Linked DNA regions of Neurospora crassa OR74A. The protein of the gene in region 1 interacts with the protein of each later gene in a pairwise test. Links are inferred from orthologs where the notes say so. Each region holds a gene or a part of one and is shown in the gene's direction. Other genes may lie near its edges.

Region 1 (3,729 bases):
TCTTCCGCTCGTGGTCGGCGCAGCTTCCGAAGGCTTGCGGTCCACCATCCTGAGTGTAGGAGCAGGAACCTTGTTCCTCGCGTCTTCCTTCTCGCTAGCAGTTGCCGCTCAGTTAACAACAAAGGTGTCGGCTCGGAGCTGAAGCTTTGTCTACAAGACGACACCCTACCCTTCCCCAGAGTCTTTGGCTGGACCGTGCTGCGTGTGTCTCAATGTCAGCCCGTGAGTGAGTGGCAGTGTGACACTGATGCCTCCAGATGCCCGTAGATGCCGTGAACTTGACAAAGTGATGGCTGAGATCGGTAGAGGTATCCTGTTGTCTCTTCTGCACTGTAGTCGCTCGGTGGATTTGGTTCACGGTCTGCTGAGTGTTGCCTCGCTGCTGCCGTGAAACGAGACTGGGGTCCGGGATTTCGATATCGTGAGCTGTGAGGTAGTATAAGACTCAGTAAGAGGATAGTGTCGTCCCAAAAACAAGTAAGATTTGATTACTCTGGGTGGAAGAGAAAAAAAAAAAAAGTCACGGTAGCGGGTTTTGTCAAGGCTGGACTGTCTCCTCAACCATGAATGGCAACACAATTAGGCTTGCAGTTTGGAAGCTCAACGGCTTCATCCCTGTTACTTAGCGCTGCCCACCCACCAAGGGCATCGATGCCACGGCGGTCAGAATAGCGCACAGCCGGTGGGCCACGGCAAATGAGGGCGGGCGAGGCTCGAGCCTTTCTGGTTCTGGCTGATCGTTCAAAAGGAATTGAGGCTCGAACCAGGGGACGCGCATTGCAGTGGTGTCCATCTAGGTACTTATACATGTAGTGCGCATGGCCTTCGGATGTGGCTCCGAAACTCTTTTTCGGACCAGGACGCATGCGGGGACGGAGACCTTTGGAGGTACTGGATCAACCATTCAGTCTTGTATCCTGCATTGTATTGGCTGCCACGCCGGGGATTTTGAGCCTGCAGTTTCACATCTACTGCGTAGACGTCCAGGATATCGTGTACCGCGGAACGGCTATAAGAAGGACAGAACAAAGCGTGGTGGGTGAACCTGCCCCCGGACTAAGGAATACCCCGCAAAGTGAGAACATGACCTCAACGGCGCTGGGCCCTTTTTGATCGTAGCTTACTAATTTGTACATGACAGGAATCCATCTGGACAAAATCCCATATCTGTTCAAGCCTAGACGAACATCTTCACAGGTTGTCGATGAACATCTTCACAGGTTGTCCATTGGCGTTGAAACCATAAACCTACTTCATAGTATTCTGGTCTCAGATATAGCTTCCGGAGCCGGTGAGCTTGGCTAGAGATAGGCGTGTCTTCCTGTGAGGTAGCCAGGGGTCTATGTATCGCGTCTGCCATACTGATGCCTACCTTGGCGATCCTCGTGGTCATATTGCGGCACATCACAATGCCATCCGCACCCGAGAAGGAAGAGAAGTGAGATGTGTACACTACTGTTCACTTTAAATGGTTCTCCACCTTCTAGGGCCGGATAACCACGCGTTCCCTCGGGCCCTCTGCGAAAAGCTGAATTGCTAACTAAGGGAACGAAGATCAACTTCTGCCCTAGAGGTATTCAGGGGTTTGTTTACACCCCCATGAACGCTGCTGCTTTCCATATCAGAAGGGGAAAGCGCTAGAGGTAGTTATGTACCTGTGCGCTACCATAGAAGCTTTCTACGATAAGGCACAGGGGCGCCTGCCCGTTTCTAGCGCTACAAGGGCAGCTACCCCACCAACGCCCAGTGACGTTGTCCCTTCTCACTGGAGGGGACGAGGGATGAGGTGTGCAGTGGTGCCGACCCCAACTGAACCCGACAATCGCGTCCCAAAAGGAGGTCGACTTTGCGATTCGAACTGATTCCAGACCTCACTCCTCCGTTCGTTCGGGCGCCCCTGACACAACAGCACACCTGCGCAGTTCACCTCGACCCGTTCGGTGGAACGCCATATCTAATCTCTTCCGAAACAACAACCATCATCGTAATACCAAAAGCGCAAAGTGCCAAAGCTCCAACATCAATAATCATGTCTACCGCAGTCATAAATGCCGACGATGACCACATGGAGCCCACGCTCCAGTCGATTCTCGACCAGCGCTCGCTGCGCTGGATTTTCGTCGGCGGCAAGGGTGGTGTCGGCAAGACGACAACCTCGTGCAGTCTGGCCATCCAGCTGGCCAAGGTCCGCCGTTCGGTCTTGCTCATCTCGACCGACCCCGCCCACAATCTCAGTGATGCCTTTAGCCAAAAGTTTGGCAAGGAGGCGCGTCTGATCGATGGTTTCGACAACCTGAGCGCTATGGAGATTGACCCCAACGGTAGCATCCAGGATCTCCTGGCTGGCCAGGGCGAGAATGAGGGTGCTGGTGATATGGGTGGTGTGGGTGGCATGATGCAGGATTTGGCGTTTGCGGTACGTTGTTGACCTTGGATCCCTTGCGCATTGCGTGACATAATCAGGCGCTAGATGGATGACACATGCTGACTCTTGGGTCTGCCATAGATTCCCGGTATCGATGAAGCCATGTCCTTCGCCGAAGTTCTCAAGCAAGTCAAGTCGCTCTCGTACGAGACCATCATCTTCGACACGGCACCGACCGGCCACACGCTGCGCTTCCTGCAGTTTCCCTCGGTCCTCGAGAAGGCTCTGGCCAAGGTCTCGCAGCTGTCTTCGCAATACGGCCCCTTGCTCAACGGCTTCCTTGGCTCCAACGGCACGCTGCCCAACGGCCAGAACCTGAACGAGATGATGGAGAAGCTCGAGACATTGCGGGCCACCATTTCAGAGGTGAACACACAGTTCAAGGATGAGCGCCTGACCACGTTCGTGTGCGTGTGCATCCCCGAATTCCTGTCGCTGTACGAGACGGAGCGCATGATCCAGGAGCTGGCCAGCTATGGGATCGACACCCACAGCATCGTGGTCAACCAGCTCCTGTTTCCCAAGCCCGGGTCAGACTGCGAGCAGTGCACAGCCCGCAGGAAGATGCAAAAGAAGTACCTGGATCAGATCGAGGAGCTGTACGACGAGTTCAACGTTGTCAAGATGCCGCTGCTCGTGGAGGAGGTCCGTGGTAAGGAGAAACTGGAGAAGTTTAGCGAAATGTTGGTTAAGCCGTTTGTGCCGCCACAATAGGAGGCATGGTAATATAAAAGGTGTAATAATGATAATACAAGAATTTTCCCGTCATTTTGGCCTGGTCCATAACCAGAGAACTGAAGCCGTCATGGGGAGATGCTTTTGGATCTAGTCACTGCGCCGAGGGTTAATTCACTTCAAACCATATTTGGAAATGCAACACCGTACACACAGAACATCAGAGAGGCAAGTATCGATAAGGAAGATAAACTACTTCTGTTATAATTCCTAGCCCTCGAAAGCAATCTAGACCGAGTAACACATGCAGCAAAACCAGGCAGCTATAAATGACGGAGCAAGCGGAAGAATTACGGTAGGTCAAGTCCGTATGTCGTCCATTGCCTATTTAGAGAAAGCATAAGGGAAGCGCGGGAGTCGGTTCATGCTGACATTCTCCTCCGCTGTCGTGATCCCTCCAACCATCATTCCAACCATCATCAAGAAAGAGAGCAACAGCTGTCGCTCAAGTCCCTTTTCCCAGGCAACCGTCCTTCTCTTTTTTCATAACGTCCATCATTTGCCGTCATTTTCCCTTCCCCTAGATGTTTCGTTTGCATGCCATCATATCCTTCTATCCATCCATCCAT
Region 2 (3,884 bases), about 540 kb from region 1:
CAGCGGAGATGAAGCCGTTGTTGTCGCGATCGAACACCTTGAAGGCCTCACGGATCTCCTCCTCGGAGTCGGTATCCTTCATCTTTCTGGCCATCATGGTAAGGAACTCTATAGGCTATTGTCAGCGGCGAGCTGGCAGGTCCATAGTCCGAAATGTTTATATCATACCAGGGAAGTCAATGGTGCCGTTGTTGTCGGCATCGACCTCGTTGATCATGTCCTGAAGCTCAGACTCGGAGGGGTTCTGGCCCAACGAGCGCATGACGGTACCGAGCTCCTTGGTGGTGATTTGGCCTAGCTGCTGTTCAGTATGCGTGCATTACGGTAGGGCTCGTATTCACATCGCAACTCGGTTCAGGGGCGGGCGGTGAGAAGCGTTGGGTGCGTCGCAACTACTATGATCCAAGGCGCTTGCCGCTAACTTGGTGGTGGATGAATTCGGATATCTGGGGGGGTAGGGTTTCGGAAGACTAACCATCACCGTCCTTGTCCTGTGTCACGTTGTGTCGGGTCAGTCATCAGGCTCGCACGATTTGCGCCAAACGGCGACACAGGGGATTGAGCATAGGCGACAAGGAAGCTCGGCGCAAGAAAAACAACTTACAAAAAGGGAGAAGGCCTCCTTGAACTCAGAGACCTGCTCTTCAGTAAGGGAGTCCGCCTGTTGTTGATAGCCTTGTCAGTCACCCGTCTCCTTTCCAGCCATCATCGTATGTTCGCAGCCCGGCCGCAGCCCCTCGAGCTAACCCGCGGGGTTCTTGTTGCGCTCAAACAGATTCGACCGGGAGGCACCGAGATAAGGAATGAGCATACCATCTTGATATAGTATTAAGGGGTGGATAGAGGGTCTGGGGAGAGCGAGCGTGTGAGATAGTTGGATGTGTTCGAAGGAGGATTTCGAAGGTGTTCTGGTTTGGAAGTGGTAGATATGGAGGTCCCCCAGTAGAAACGAACGAGACCCGTTGGCTACCTACCAGGTAGGTCCAAGTCCCCGTTCTCCTAGTTCGACGTTCCTTAAATGAGCAGCTGGGCCGCCGATTGCGAAGCATGGAGTGGAGGGAGGCGGGGCGGGGTCCCTCCCTACCTAACTGTAACACACTCGCTAAAATGAGACTAAAACTAAAGATGCCCTGGAGCCCATCCCGGCGTCTCGCAGGTGCTGCAACCTACCTGGAACCTCTGCATGGGATACATCACCACTGGAGGTGTAGGTCGTCAGCCCCAGCCCAGGACAGACGGGCCAGACTGTTAACAGGCTGAAAGCTCCCGTCCCCCAGGCTGCCAGCTGACCGACTCTTTGAGACACTGACAAAGGCTACCCCTTATTGGCGGGCCCCAAGTGCCTGACAGGTGACATGCATCCCATGTTATTCATGCCCCCCATCCCTGGAACTGGCCAGCATTGTGTTTCTGAACCGCCGCGTCAGCGTCATTGTCAGTGGTAGCAGCTGCCCAGTGCTACTGGCCCTGTTGCTGTTATTACATAGGTAGGTAGGTAGTGAAAGAGAGAGGCCTAGAAACATTTCCCCCCGGGAAGATCGACCAGGGACGGAGACATTGGCAACTCAACCTCGACCACATACACAGCCGTGTCCATGCGATGCGATGTGATGCCATACCCATTCCAATCCGCCTCTGGACCGCCATTACCACTAACTACCATCAATTGACTCTCACCTCTGACCGAGACGACGACTAGCCTTCGGCGTGCAACCGAGGTGAAGGGAGCCTTTCGCCCTTCCGGCGTCCGCCATGTGGCGCGACCGCACTAATCTGTACGGGGAACTCTCTTGAACCCCCCGGAGATGAGAGTCGTTCGTTAACATCCATGTGACTATCACAGCTATATCTCGTACCGGCAGTCCTACGCCCACCACCCGACCCAGCGCAACCGATATGCCCCTCAGAACCCAGGCGACCGCTTCGGCGGGACTTCCGGCGGGGCTGGCAGCAGCACGGGGGTCCTCTTCTCTGCCGACGATGACCGGCGCGGCCTCTTATCCGCGGGGGCCTACGATGTCGACGACGGCGATGCGGTGATCGAGATGGACCTGCTTCCGCCTCGGTGGGCGGATTCGTCGGACGAAGTGGCGGAGCTGCTGGCCGACATCGCCCGCAAGAGCCAGAAGCTGGAGCGGTTGCATCAGAAGCACGTACTGCCGGGGTTTGACGACGACGAGGCTAAGAGGGACCAGGAACGTGAGATAGAGCAGCTTACGCAGTCCATCACCAAGGGGTTCCACGACTGCCACCGCGTCATCCAGCGCATCGAGCAGATGGTGCGCGAGGGCAAACACAATGGCCAGATGAGTCGCGCCGACGAGGTCATGGCCAAGAACATACAAATCAACCTGGCCACGAGAGTCCAGGAGGCCAGCGCCAATTTTCGAAAAAAGCAGAGCGCATATCTAAAGAGTGAGCCCCCCTACTTTCCTTACCACTCGACTCTGACTTTAAACAGTCATGCTGACATCACACTCCCTGTTCAGAGCTAAGAGGCATGAGCGGCCTTGCCAGTCCAACCCTCGACCGAGTCTCAGCCACCTCTTCTTTCCTGGGCCCCAGCGGCCTCCCGCCCGGCAACAGCTCCAACAGCGCCTCCATTCTCGAATCCGACGCCGACCGGGTCTTCTCCCAGTCGACCCTACAAGCGTCAACGCACCAGAAGCTGCTTCACAGCAACGACCAGGCGATCTCTCAGCGTGAGCGCGAAATCGACGAAATCGCTCAGGGCATCATCGACCTGTCCGATCTGTTCCGGGATCTTCAGACCATGGTCATCGACCAGGGTACGATGCTGGATCGGATCGATTACAACGTGGAGCGGATGGCGACGGACGTGAAGGAGGCGGCCAAGGAGTTGACGGTTGCGTCCGGGTACCAGAAGAAGACAACCAAGAGGAAGATTATACTTCTGTTGTTGATTTTGATAGCGGGTATGATTATTTTGCTGGTTATCAAGCCGAAGAAACATGGAGGTTGAAGAGAGTGGGGAGAGACATAAAAGGGACGAACTTCAAGATGTTATGTGTGGGACAATCGAGTTGATGGGCGGACGGGTAACCGAAACCACTACACGGTACAGCGAAAGGGGTGAGTGAGCCGAAGAAAGAGGGAATTTAAGAAAGTAGTAATGTAATAAAAATGGGGAGAGAACATCAAGAAAGGATTCCGGGAAACCGGTTTGTATGACAACTATACAGATGTCAACAATCGGGGGTATGAGAACCGAGGTATGAGGACCACGGCCCCTTTATCTCAAATAGGTTTGTTATAGTTTCATGTTGTGACCCTGTTTGCATTGTGTGTAATGGCCATGCTTGGGAAAAACAAAAAGTAAACAGTTTCACGCTTGATCAAATCTACTTTTTAAGACAAGGCTCCGGTACTTCCAAGTCCGTTGGATGATCATCCTGTGTAAATTTTGTCTATGGCGCTGTATTAACCCTTTTCGTTAACCTCCCTGCCATGCTCTATATAAATGCCCATGTAAATAAAACAAAGTAAATCTTCGCTATGTGTTGCCTAGATGGTATACAGGTTCCATCCGACAACCGCTCGTCTATTCAACTTCTTCTTCTTCTTTCTTCACTCCTCCCCCGTGGGTTCAAACCCGTCTTCTCTTCTCTTTCTCTCGGACCGTCTAACTCTCTCACGTCTAACTCACCGCAAAAATAAGGACAGAGACGTCTAAACCGACACAAAGTCCACTCTGTTACACCCTCAGCAGTAGGCTGCCCCTTTACTCCAGGAAGGTGAACAAGTTGGTATGCAAGATATTCATAGCCCGCTCGGCGTCTCTGGCGTCGATAACACACGAGATGTTGATCTCGCTGGCACCTATTCACCCACAATGATTAGCCATCCATATACTCTCACACACA
Region 3 (4,238 bases), on another chromosome or scaffold:
CGGGAAATCGCGCGCAATCAGGGCCAACTCCCACATGGCGAAGCACTTGTTTGACCATTAGCAATCAGGTACGTGACAACGTGCACGATTCAAGCGAACATACCTTGTAAAACAACTTTCTGTGCCCGAGTCCGTTCAAGAGACTGCCATTGGGATCCTTGGACCCCGATGTGAAAGGGCGTTGATCCTTGGTCGGTTCCTTGACCATGAACATGGTGAACGCAGTGTTACCAGCAATCCAAACGATCAGGAGCATGGTGCTAGCCAGGATGATCGAAGTGGCGCTTTTGAAGGAGACGGGCCACGAATATGGCACATAGTTCGTCTTTGGAAGGTTGAAGAATGGGCGAAAGAAGAAGAGCGACAGCCGCCAGACCACCTTGCGCAGGAACGGGTAGGTGACCAAAGTCAATATCAGGCTGGCAAGCGTTTGATTGAGTGACTGCAAGAAAATGCTAGGCATCTCACCCCAGAACTTCTTCATAAGGGTGCCGACATCACTGTTGTTGTTACGGACGGCCTTCTCTGAGGGCTTAGCGACACCCAAGAGGAGCCGGTCAATGTCCAAATACAGATGTCTGATGGCCTGGTAGACGCCGAGCATCACAAGATGGGTGGTAATGAAGACAGCCTTCTCGTTCAGCCTCTGTCTATCGTACGACAGGTACGTCACCCATTCCAACCCAGAGTCCTTAGGCTGGGAAAGGAGGTAGACTTGGGCAAACAGCCAGGCAGAGAAGGCATATGTCAAGATGGTCTCCAAGGTTGAGAAGTTGCGCCAATGCTTCAGGAAGGTATCGAAAGCCGAGTCGGATGTTCGGTAGCCGGGATGGTATTGTGCGATGCGCAGGATGAGGATGAGCGAGCCGGAGAACCAGAAGAAGGCGGCGCGAAAGCCAGTCGGGCCGATGGGAAACCAAGACCAGAGGACTAGATGGAGAGCAGCATGGTCAGTTGGTTCGCGTCAGGTAGCAGAAGGTAGCTGGCCAGCTTACAAGAGTTCCATCTGGCCAGGCCAATGGCATAGACATATGCGATGACGAGCAGAATCAAGGCTGTGGTACTAAAACGGCGATGGAGTGCAGGCTGGAGGAAGTCCTTGTAGGGCGGTCGTCTAACAGATGCGGACGCCATCTTCACAGCACATTGTCGACAGTCCCGCCGTCGTTATGGTAGTTGTTTGCCTGTGGATGGTGTCTGGAAGACGTGATGCGCGTGAGGGGGAGGGCGGGGAGGGGGGAGGTGGGATTGGTCCTCGTCGAAATTAAGCTGAGGTCAGTAAAGCCCAATTTGGATCTTGAGGCAGCAGCTTCGGGTTTGATATGAGGTGTTGAGTTGGTTGTATGTAAATAAAAAAACGGGGTGGGCCTGCCTGCCGCGCTGGACTGGACTGAACTGAAGCTTCCAGTTCCCGTAGTCCCCAAAACACGAGGGGACGCGCTGTCGTCAGCCTGTCACTCTTTTTGGATCCACACGAGCTGAAGGCCCGGTATCATGATTGGCCAAGATGCCCCATTACGTCTCCAACAAGCCAAGCCGAAGCTTTGGAGCGGCAGGGCAGGACGGCAGGGATCCACATGGAAGTTCCCTCGAAACTGACAGTGGATGCTGACAGCGCACAGCGGGCAGCCACTGAGGGACAGCGACTGGTGGTGTCCTGGCTCGCCTGGATAACGCAATCCATTGCAACCACTTGCGACCACTTGCGACCCGGCATTGTCGTCCCAGATCACAAGTCACAAGTCACCTTAGGTTCCCGCGCTTCAACTTACAACCATCCACCCAAGGGAACCTTGGACCACCACCGCCTGTTGACAAAAACATCACCAACAAAACAGGCACCGACGAATCGCTCGTTTTCCGAAGGGCCTCATCTCAGCTTCCATTTGCTTGAAGAACCGCATACTTGTACATACCGAATCCCATCTCGTCGACGACAATCAATCACTACCCTGCGCATCGCATCAGGCACCGATAAGCCAAACTATCTGCTATCATAACCACAACCACAACCACGACAACCACCACCAGCAACCATGTCATTCGATCAGCTCTCCTCCCTTGAGGCGGGGCGCCGTCGTAATACCGGTGGCAACCAGTACACCGATGACCCCGAGTTCCAGCGCCTCTCCCAAGATTTGATGAACAAGCTCTTCAAGCTTAACGGCAACAACCAGCGACTCCAAGGCGAGGTCGGCCACCTCGGCACGCGGCGCGATACTCCACGGGTTCGGGAACGAGTCCACGAGCTGATTGAGGAGTCGCGCGATCTATTCAAGGAAGTCGGCGGGGGCGTCAAGAAGGTGCAAACCTGGGAAGATGTCACTGTACGTTACTATTCTCTCTCTCTCTCTCTCTCTTATCACCACTCCTCGTCCCCTCCATTGCCAAGCGCCGGACCGTAGACTAACACGCCATACCCAAAAAAAAACTAGCCGACCCAAAAATACATGCAACAAAAACTCTCGCGCGAATTCCAATCCTCCCTCTCCGAATTCCAATCCCTCCAACGCACCGCCCTCGACAAGCAAAAAGCCTCAGTAACCGCCGCCCGCTCCGTGATTGACGCCACCGACCCTTCGCACTCTTCGCACCCCGTGCTCGAGTCCGGGGAACCCCAGCTGCTGCAATATCAGGAGCAAGAACTCACCCACCTCGCGTCGCAATCCGATGTCGATTTCCAGGATGCGCTCATCCTCGAGCGCGAAGAGGAGATTCGCAATATCGAGCAGGGTGTTGGCGACTTGAATGTGCTGTTCCAGCAGGTGGCTCAGATTGTCAGCGAGCAGGGCGAGATGCTGGATACGATTGCGAATAATGTGGAGAATGTGAGGGATGATACGGCGGGGGCGGATAGGGAGTTGAGGAGTGCGGCGAGGTATCAGAAGAATGCGAGGGGCAAGGCGTGCTGTTTGTTGCTGATTTTGAGCGTTATCTTGACGATTGTTTTGTTGGCGGTGTTCTTGGGCTAAATGGGTGGGACATGATATGGCATGGTATGAAAAACAAGTGCAGGATGCGGAAAGACGGGACACAGTAAGGATATGATTGTTGATGATGTTTTGATGATGAAACGGAAGGGAATGGCCCGGAGGACAGGGTAATCCTGTAATGGTTGGTTTTGTTATTTCTGTTGCTGTCGTTGTTGTTGATTTCGTTATCGCAAAGACGCCTGGGAGGGATCAAAGACAGGGGAAAGGCGTTTTCGGAGTTCTTACATTCTTTTTTGACTCTTGTTGGCTATACAGTTTCCATCTGGCCTCTGTAGGCGGCCAGTCCATCTATCATCCATCCATAGGTATCTTATGTCTCATACATCTACATACATACTGTACAAAAACCGCTATGCTCTATCTTGTGACATGGCTTGCGAGATCACTTTCTTTACGGCTGTGTGATTCGGCTCCCAATCCAGCCCCGGCAGCTTCGGTCTCACATACGGATCATCTCCCCTCCCCTTGGCCGGTCCCAGATATGGCGGCAACGGCATCTTGGCCGCCACCACGCTCGTGATCGCGTTGCTCGTCAGACTCGTCGTGATCCAGTACAGGTGCAGCGCCGCCGGCAAGTTGATGGTGGCGGGCCCAACGATCAGCGTCAGCAGCAGCAGCGCCCGCTGCATCCTAAGTCCTACGGACTTTTGCTGCTTGATCTTGGATGCGTGCTCGCCAATATTGTTTGGGTTGACGTCCTCCGTCCCGGGGTTCAGGAGACGCAACCACCCTTCTTGGTTGCGAGGCATTACGTTGACGAACATGGTGAAAGAAAGAACGAAAGGGAGAATGTGCAGAGGGTCGGCGGCCATGAGGTCGGGGAACCAGAGGCAGCCCTCCATGGTGGTGGGGAGGGTGTTTTGGAAATAGCTGGAGAGGGATTCCGGGAGGATGTTGGCTAGGGGGTTGACAATGGCGTCGGCGACGGGCGTGGTAGTGGTGACGGATGCTTCCGTGACGGCCTGCGTGGCGTTTGTGGCCGCTTCAGTTGCTTGTAACACTGCTTGTTGTGTGGTTTCCGCCGCCTTCGAGGCCGCCTCCGCCGCCGCCCTCCCATCCTTATTAGCCCCCAAAAACATACCCAACAGACCAACCGGTCCGCCACACAACCTCCTCAAAGCCTCGATACCCACCAGCCAGCCGGGAAAGGCCAAAAACGGCACAAACTGCTTCCATGGCTGCACGCCCCACTCTTTCAGTAACCTTTTGCTCGTCTTCTCCATCCGCTTCATGATCTCGGTGGGC
Region 4 (4,232 bases), on another chromosome or scaffold:
ACAAGATACCCCTATTCATGCCGCTCATCACACCAGGAGTAGAACTAAATGGTCGTCCCGAAGCCGACGACATGCCCACCACACCCGTCGTGACACCCATATTGGTAATACCGGTATTAACCCCGCCAGCACCGAGTCCATTCACCGGCGCCGCCAGCCCTCCAATGCTTCCACTAGCACCGCTTCCTGTACCAGCAGGCAACCCCCCATTCATAGACATCAAGATGGACGTTTGCTGCAACCCGCCGGACCCCTTTTGCTTCTTGGCATTCGGCAGCATCGCCATCCTATCCCGCTCATCTCCATGATCACCCACTTGTCCCTGCTCCAAAGATAGCATAACCCCCTCGGGAGCTGCCAGTCCTCCCATAACCGGTCCAGGCGCCAAAACGACCGCGGCGGCGGTCCCCGCAGGAGGAACCACAACGTCGCTCCCGCCCTTGACGCGGGCCCGGGCGGCCGCTGCTTGCGCCTTGATGGCTTTGTAGGAAGAAGTCTTGGGCACCACGTCCTCAAGGAACTCGAGATTGTCGTGGTGGGAGACGGCAGCGGCCACGTCCTTGTATTGCACGTTGCGGCGAGGCTTGCGCTCGGCTTTGGCCATGTTCTGGGCTTCGGAGGCGAGGTGTTGGATGAACATTTCTGTTGCCAGAGTGATCACGAAAGCGGCATTGTTGGAGCAGACTGTGATGTCTGGATCTACGGCGATGATTTTTTTGACCCTTGTGACTGGGTGGAGAGGAAATTGTTAGTATATGTAGACTCACACGGAGTGAATGCGTGAGAGGAAGTTCAAGGGGACTGCTGGGTTTCCTTACGGGGCAGCTGGGTTTGGCCTGTGACTTCCTTTCGGGGAGGAATTGCTGTGGTGTTGTACGGCATCTTGTTGGCAGGGAGAACGGCAGATCTCCAGGAGACAATGTGCGAGGTGATTCCAAGTTCGGAGTGGATTTTATATCGCTGAGGTGAGGGAGAAACCAGTTTGGGGTTCAGTTCTACTTTTCGTTCTAGACTGAGTTTCGTAGGTGCCGACACCGAGTGTGTGACAAGCCGTTTGTAAGATTAATTGCCGATATGTCAAAAGTGATCGTAGGTCGTCTGGATGATCCAATCAAAGTCTAACCAGCGTTTCTTGGTCCTGAGAATGGTATATATCGAACCAGCGGATCAACGGCAAGAAGTTAAAGTGAAACGCGTAAAGACGCGATTAACAGAAGTGTTGCATCTTTTCCCAGACAACCCCATGGGTGGCTATAACATGGTACTGTAGTACAGTACCAGGGGGCGGGCACCTTGGCGGCTCAGGGATTACCTAGGTTGCCTGCCAAGAGCCCAGAACCCCGGAAGCTGGGCGCTGGAGTTGGGACGTCACTTACCTCTAGTTCAGCCTTGCAGCTGAGTGATAGCTTCAGTGGGCGATTACAGGCACCTGGGCGGTTGGAGGCGCAATCGATAACAGTGACAACCTGGAAGACAATGACATGGATACTAAGTACCTGTAGGTACTGATGAACGGCAAACAACCCGGACAACTTGAAGCGCCCACCTACTTTGCACTTCTTACTTCAGTCCGAATGCCAGCGACATGATGTCTAGAGGCGGCCCAGGCGCCATGAATTCGCAACCCCGATCTACGTCGTTCTCGACGTCAGTGCCCCAGATCCCGAACCAGCGCGCTCGAAGACCGTCCGTCAGCTCCCGGTTTTCCTACGCCGTGTCCATTGCCGAACAAGGAGAAGCCCAGACGGCGCAAGGAGTAGCAGCGCAACATCAGATCGAGGAGGAAATTGCGCAGATCAAGCGATACGAGGTCAGCAGCTAGCTTCGCTTGCTCCAGAGTTTGGGTTGTGCGATGCGACCGGGTTAGTTTGTGCGGCTGCTAACATGGACCGAGTAGGACTTCACCACCATCGGTATGATACACCTTTGACATCAGAACCACTTCCGCCCGACCGGCCGGGCAGGCAGGCGCTGACGATAGACGACAGACTGGGTGCAAGATGCGGCGCGAGAACAACTGCGCAGAAAGGCGCGTCGAAAAAGAAATGCGGGGCTCTGGGACGCCGGCCGCTTCGACTGGCGACACAGGATACGGGAGTCCTATGATGCTGCCCAGGGCTGGATTGTCGTCACCATCATAGGTGCGGCAATTGGAGTCAATGCTGCTTTTCTCAACATTATCACCGAATGGCTTGCCGACATCAAGCTTGGCCATTGCAAGACTGCCTTCTATCTGAATGAGAATTTCTGTTGCTGGGGGGAGGACAACGGCTGCGACGACTGGCAAAAATGGACGGGTTTCTCACCCATCAACTACTTGATCTACATACTCTTTGCGGTTCGTAATCCTTGCCTATCCCTCGTCGGGCCATCTGAGAAGACCAGCTCCTCACTGACAGGCTCTAGATTTTGTTCGCCTGCACATCAGCCACCCTGGTCAAGTCCTATGCCCCCTATGCCGCCGGCTCTGGCATTTCCGAGATCAAATGCATCATCGCCGGCTTCGTCATGAAGGGGTTTCTCGGTTTCTGGACTCTAGTCATCAAGTCCCTGGCCCTACCACTTGCCATCGGCTCCGGTCTCTCCGTTGGAAAGGAAGGGCCTAGCGTACACTACGCTGTGTGCACAGGAAATGTCATATCGAGGCTCTTCGCCAAGTATAGACGAAATGCATCCAAGACGCGTGAGATCCTGAGCGCTTGTGCTGCTGCAGGAGTTGCTGTCGCGTTCGGTAGCCCTATTGGAGGTGTGCTGTTCTCGCTCGAAGAGATGTCCAGCTATTTTCCTCTCAAGACCATGTGGCGTAGCTACTTCTGCGCTCTGGTTGCAACAGCCGTCCTGTCTGCCATGAATCCTTTCCGAACTGGGCAATTGGTCATGTTTCAGGTCCATTACGACAGATCGTGGCACTTTTTTGAGATTTTATTCTTTATTCTACTGGGCATCTTTGGCGGTCTATACGGTGCCTTCGTCATGAAGTGGAATCTCAGGGTGCAAGCATTCCGCAAGAAGTACCTGACCAACTACGCTATTCTCGAAGCTACTCTGTTGGCGGCTGCCACGGCTATCGTGTGTTATCCGAACAGCTTTCTGAGAATCGACATGACCGAGAGCATGGAGATTCTTTTTCTTGAATGCGAAGGCGCTGAGGATTATCAAGGCCTCTGCGAGAGAGATCACCGCTTTCGCAACGTGGTTTCTTTGCTGCTAGCAACCGTCATCCGTATCTTCTTCGTCATTATTTCGTACGGCTGCAAGGTCCCAGCCGGTATTTTCGTGCCGTCTATGGCCATTGGTGCCTCCTTTGGCCGCTCAGTGGGCATCATTGTCCAAGCACTCCATGAAGCCAACCCGCAAAGCCCATTCTTCGCTGCTTGCTTGCCCGATGTGCCATGCATCACGCCGGGAACATACGCCTTTCTTGGTGCCGCCGCTGCTCTGAGTGGCATCATGCACATCACTGTTTCGGTGGTGGTCATTATGTTCGAGCTTACCGGCGCCCTCACCTACATCCTGCCAACCATGATTGTCGTTGGAGTAACCAAAGCCGTCAGTGAGCTGTTCGGCAAAGGTGGCATCGCGGACCGCATGATCTGGTTCAGCGGCTTCCCCTTCCTCGACAACAAGGAAGACCACAACCTCGGCGTACCCGTCTCGCACGCCATGATCAAGGATGTCACATCTATCCCCACCAACGGCATGACCCTCCAGCAAATCGAGGGTCTTCTCGCCGAGGACAACTATCAAGGCTTCCCGATCGTGGAAGATGAGCACTCCAAAATCCTCGTTGGCTACATCGGCCGTACGGAGCTACGCTATGCCGTCGACCGCGCAAAGCGTGAGAGAACACTCAGTCCTCAAGCCAAGTGCACCTTTGCTCCACCACCCAGCGCAGATGTCACCACCCCTGGCACTGACATCATCACACCCGGTCTCGCCCGCATGGACAGCTTCAACACTATCGGCTTCGCCGAGCCATCCACAACTGCCTCTGCTTCATCCTCCAACTTCATCAACTTCAGCCGCTACGTAGACACCACCCCCGTCTCCGCTCACCCGCGCCTCCCCCTCGAAACCGTCATGGAACTCTTCCGCAAGATCGGTCCGCGTGTGATCCTGATTGAGTACCACGGCAAGCTGATGGGGCTTGTCACGGTGAAGGATTGTCTCAAGTATCAGTTCAAGGTCGAGGCAATGGAGGAGGTCGCTAACAATGGACAACACAGTGGGCA

What was found. The genes of interacting proteins can lie anywhere in the genome.
Region 2: the proteins of NCU06717 (region 1) and NCU04119 interact in a two-hybrid assay, tested with the Saccharomyces cerevisiae proteins (2 studies listed by BioGRID). The link is inferred for Neurospora crassa OR74A from reciprocal best matches to the Saccharomyces cerevisiae genes GET3 and TLG2.
Region 3: the proteins of NCU06717 (region 1) and NCU06777 interact in binary tests that used the Saccharomyces cerevisiae proteins (3 or more experiments, as listed by UniProt). The link is inferred for Neurospora crassa OR74A from reciprocal best matches to the Saccharomyces cerevisiae genes GET3 and PEP12.
Region 4: the proteins of NCU06717 (region 1) and NCU06624 interact in binary tests that used the Saccharomyces cerevisiae proteins (3 or more experiments, as listed by UniProt). The link is inferred for Neurospora crassa OR74A from reciprocal best matches to the Saccharomyces cerevisiae genes GET3 and GEF1.

What each region holds. Positions count from the first base shown.
Region 1 is NC_026505.1:4,372,227-4,375,955, forward strand, and holds NCU06717 (arsenical pump-driving ATPase), read left to right. Parts: upstream 1-1,470; 5' UTR 1,471-2,029; coding exon 2,030-2,416; intron 2,417-2,506; coding exon 2,507-3,139; 3' UTR 3,140-3,219; downstream 3,220-3,729. Other genes in the region: NCU06716 (short chain dehydrogenase/reductase), read right to left, coding at 1-48. UniProt on the Saccharomyces cerevisiae protein: ATPase required for the post-translational delivery of tail-anchored (TA) proteins to the endoplasmic reticulum. Recognizes and selectively binds the transmembrane domain of TA proteins in the cytosol.
Region 2 is NC_026505.1:4,908,373-4,912,256, reverse strand, and holds NCU04119 (SNARE complex subunit), read left to right. Parts: upstream 1-1,422; 5' UTR 1,423-1,752; coding exon 1,753-1,775; intron 1,776-1,843; coding exon 1,844-2,415; intron 2,416-2,489; coding exon 2,490-2,983; 3' UTR 2,984-3,374; downstream 3,375-3,884. Other genes in the region: cmd (calmodulin A), read right to left, coding at 1-108, 169-294, 476-491, 605-661, 814-816; NCU04118 (aspartokinase), read right to left, coding at 3,743-3,840. UniProt on the Saccharomyces cerevisiae protein: t-SNARE that functions in transport from the endosome to the late Golgi and on the endocytic pathway.
Region 3 is NC_026502.1:1,962,457-1,966,694, reverse strand, and holds the start of NCU06777 (syntaxin), read left to right. Parts: upstream 1-1,428; 5' UTR 1,429-2,036; coding exon 2,037-2,327; intron 2,328-2,435; coding exon 2,436-2,972; 3' UTR 2,973-3,343; coding exon of another isoform or gene 3,344-4,238. Other genes in the region: NCU06776 (hypothetical protein), read right to left, coding at 1-45, 104-930, 996-1,134; OXA-2, read right to left, coding at 3,344-4,238. UniProt on the Saccharomyces cerevisiae protein: Plays a role in the sorting and targeting of vacuolar proteases.
Region 4 is NC_026504.1:1,836,739-1,840,970, forward strand, and holds the start of NCU06624 (CLC voltage-gated chloride channel protein), read left to right. Parts: upstream 1-1,422; 5' UTR 1,423-1,585; coding exon 1,586-1,810; intron 1,811-1,897; coding exon 1,898-1,913; exon of another isoform or gene 1,914-1,988; coding exon 1,989-2,338; intron 2,339-2,406; coding exon 2,407-4,232. Other genes in the region: NCU06623 (hypothetical protein), read right to left, coding at 1-729, 819-882. UniProt on the Saccharomyces cerevisiae protein: Anion/proton exchange transporter involved in iron and copper cation homeostasis. Involved in intracellular iron metabolism during growth on fermentable and non fermentable carbon sources.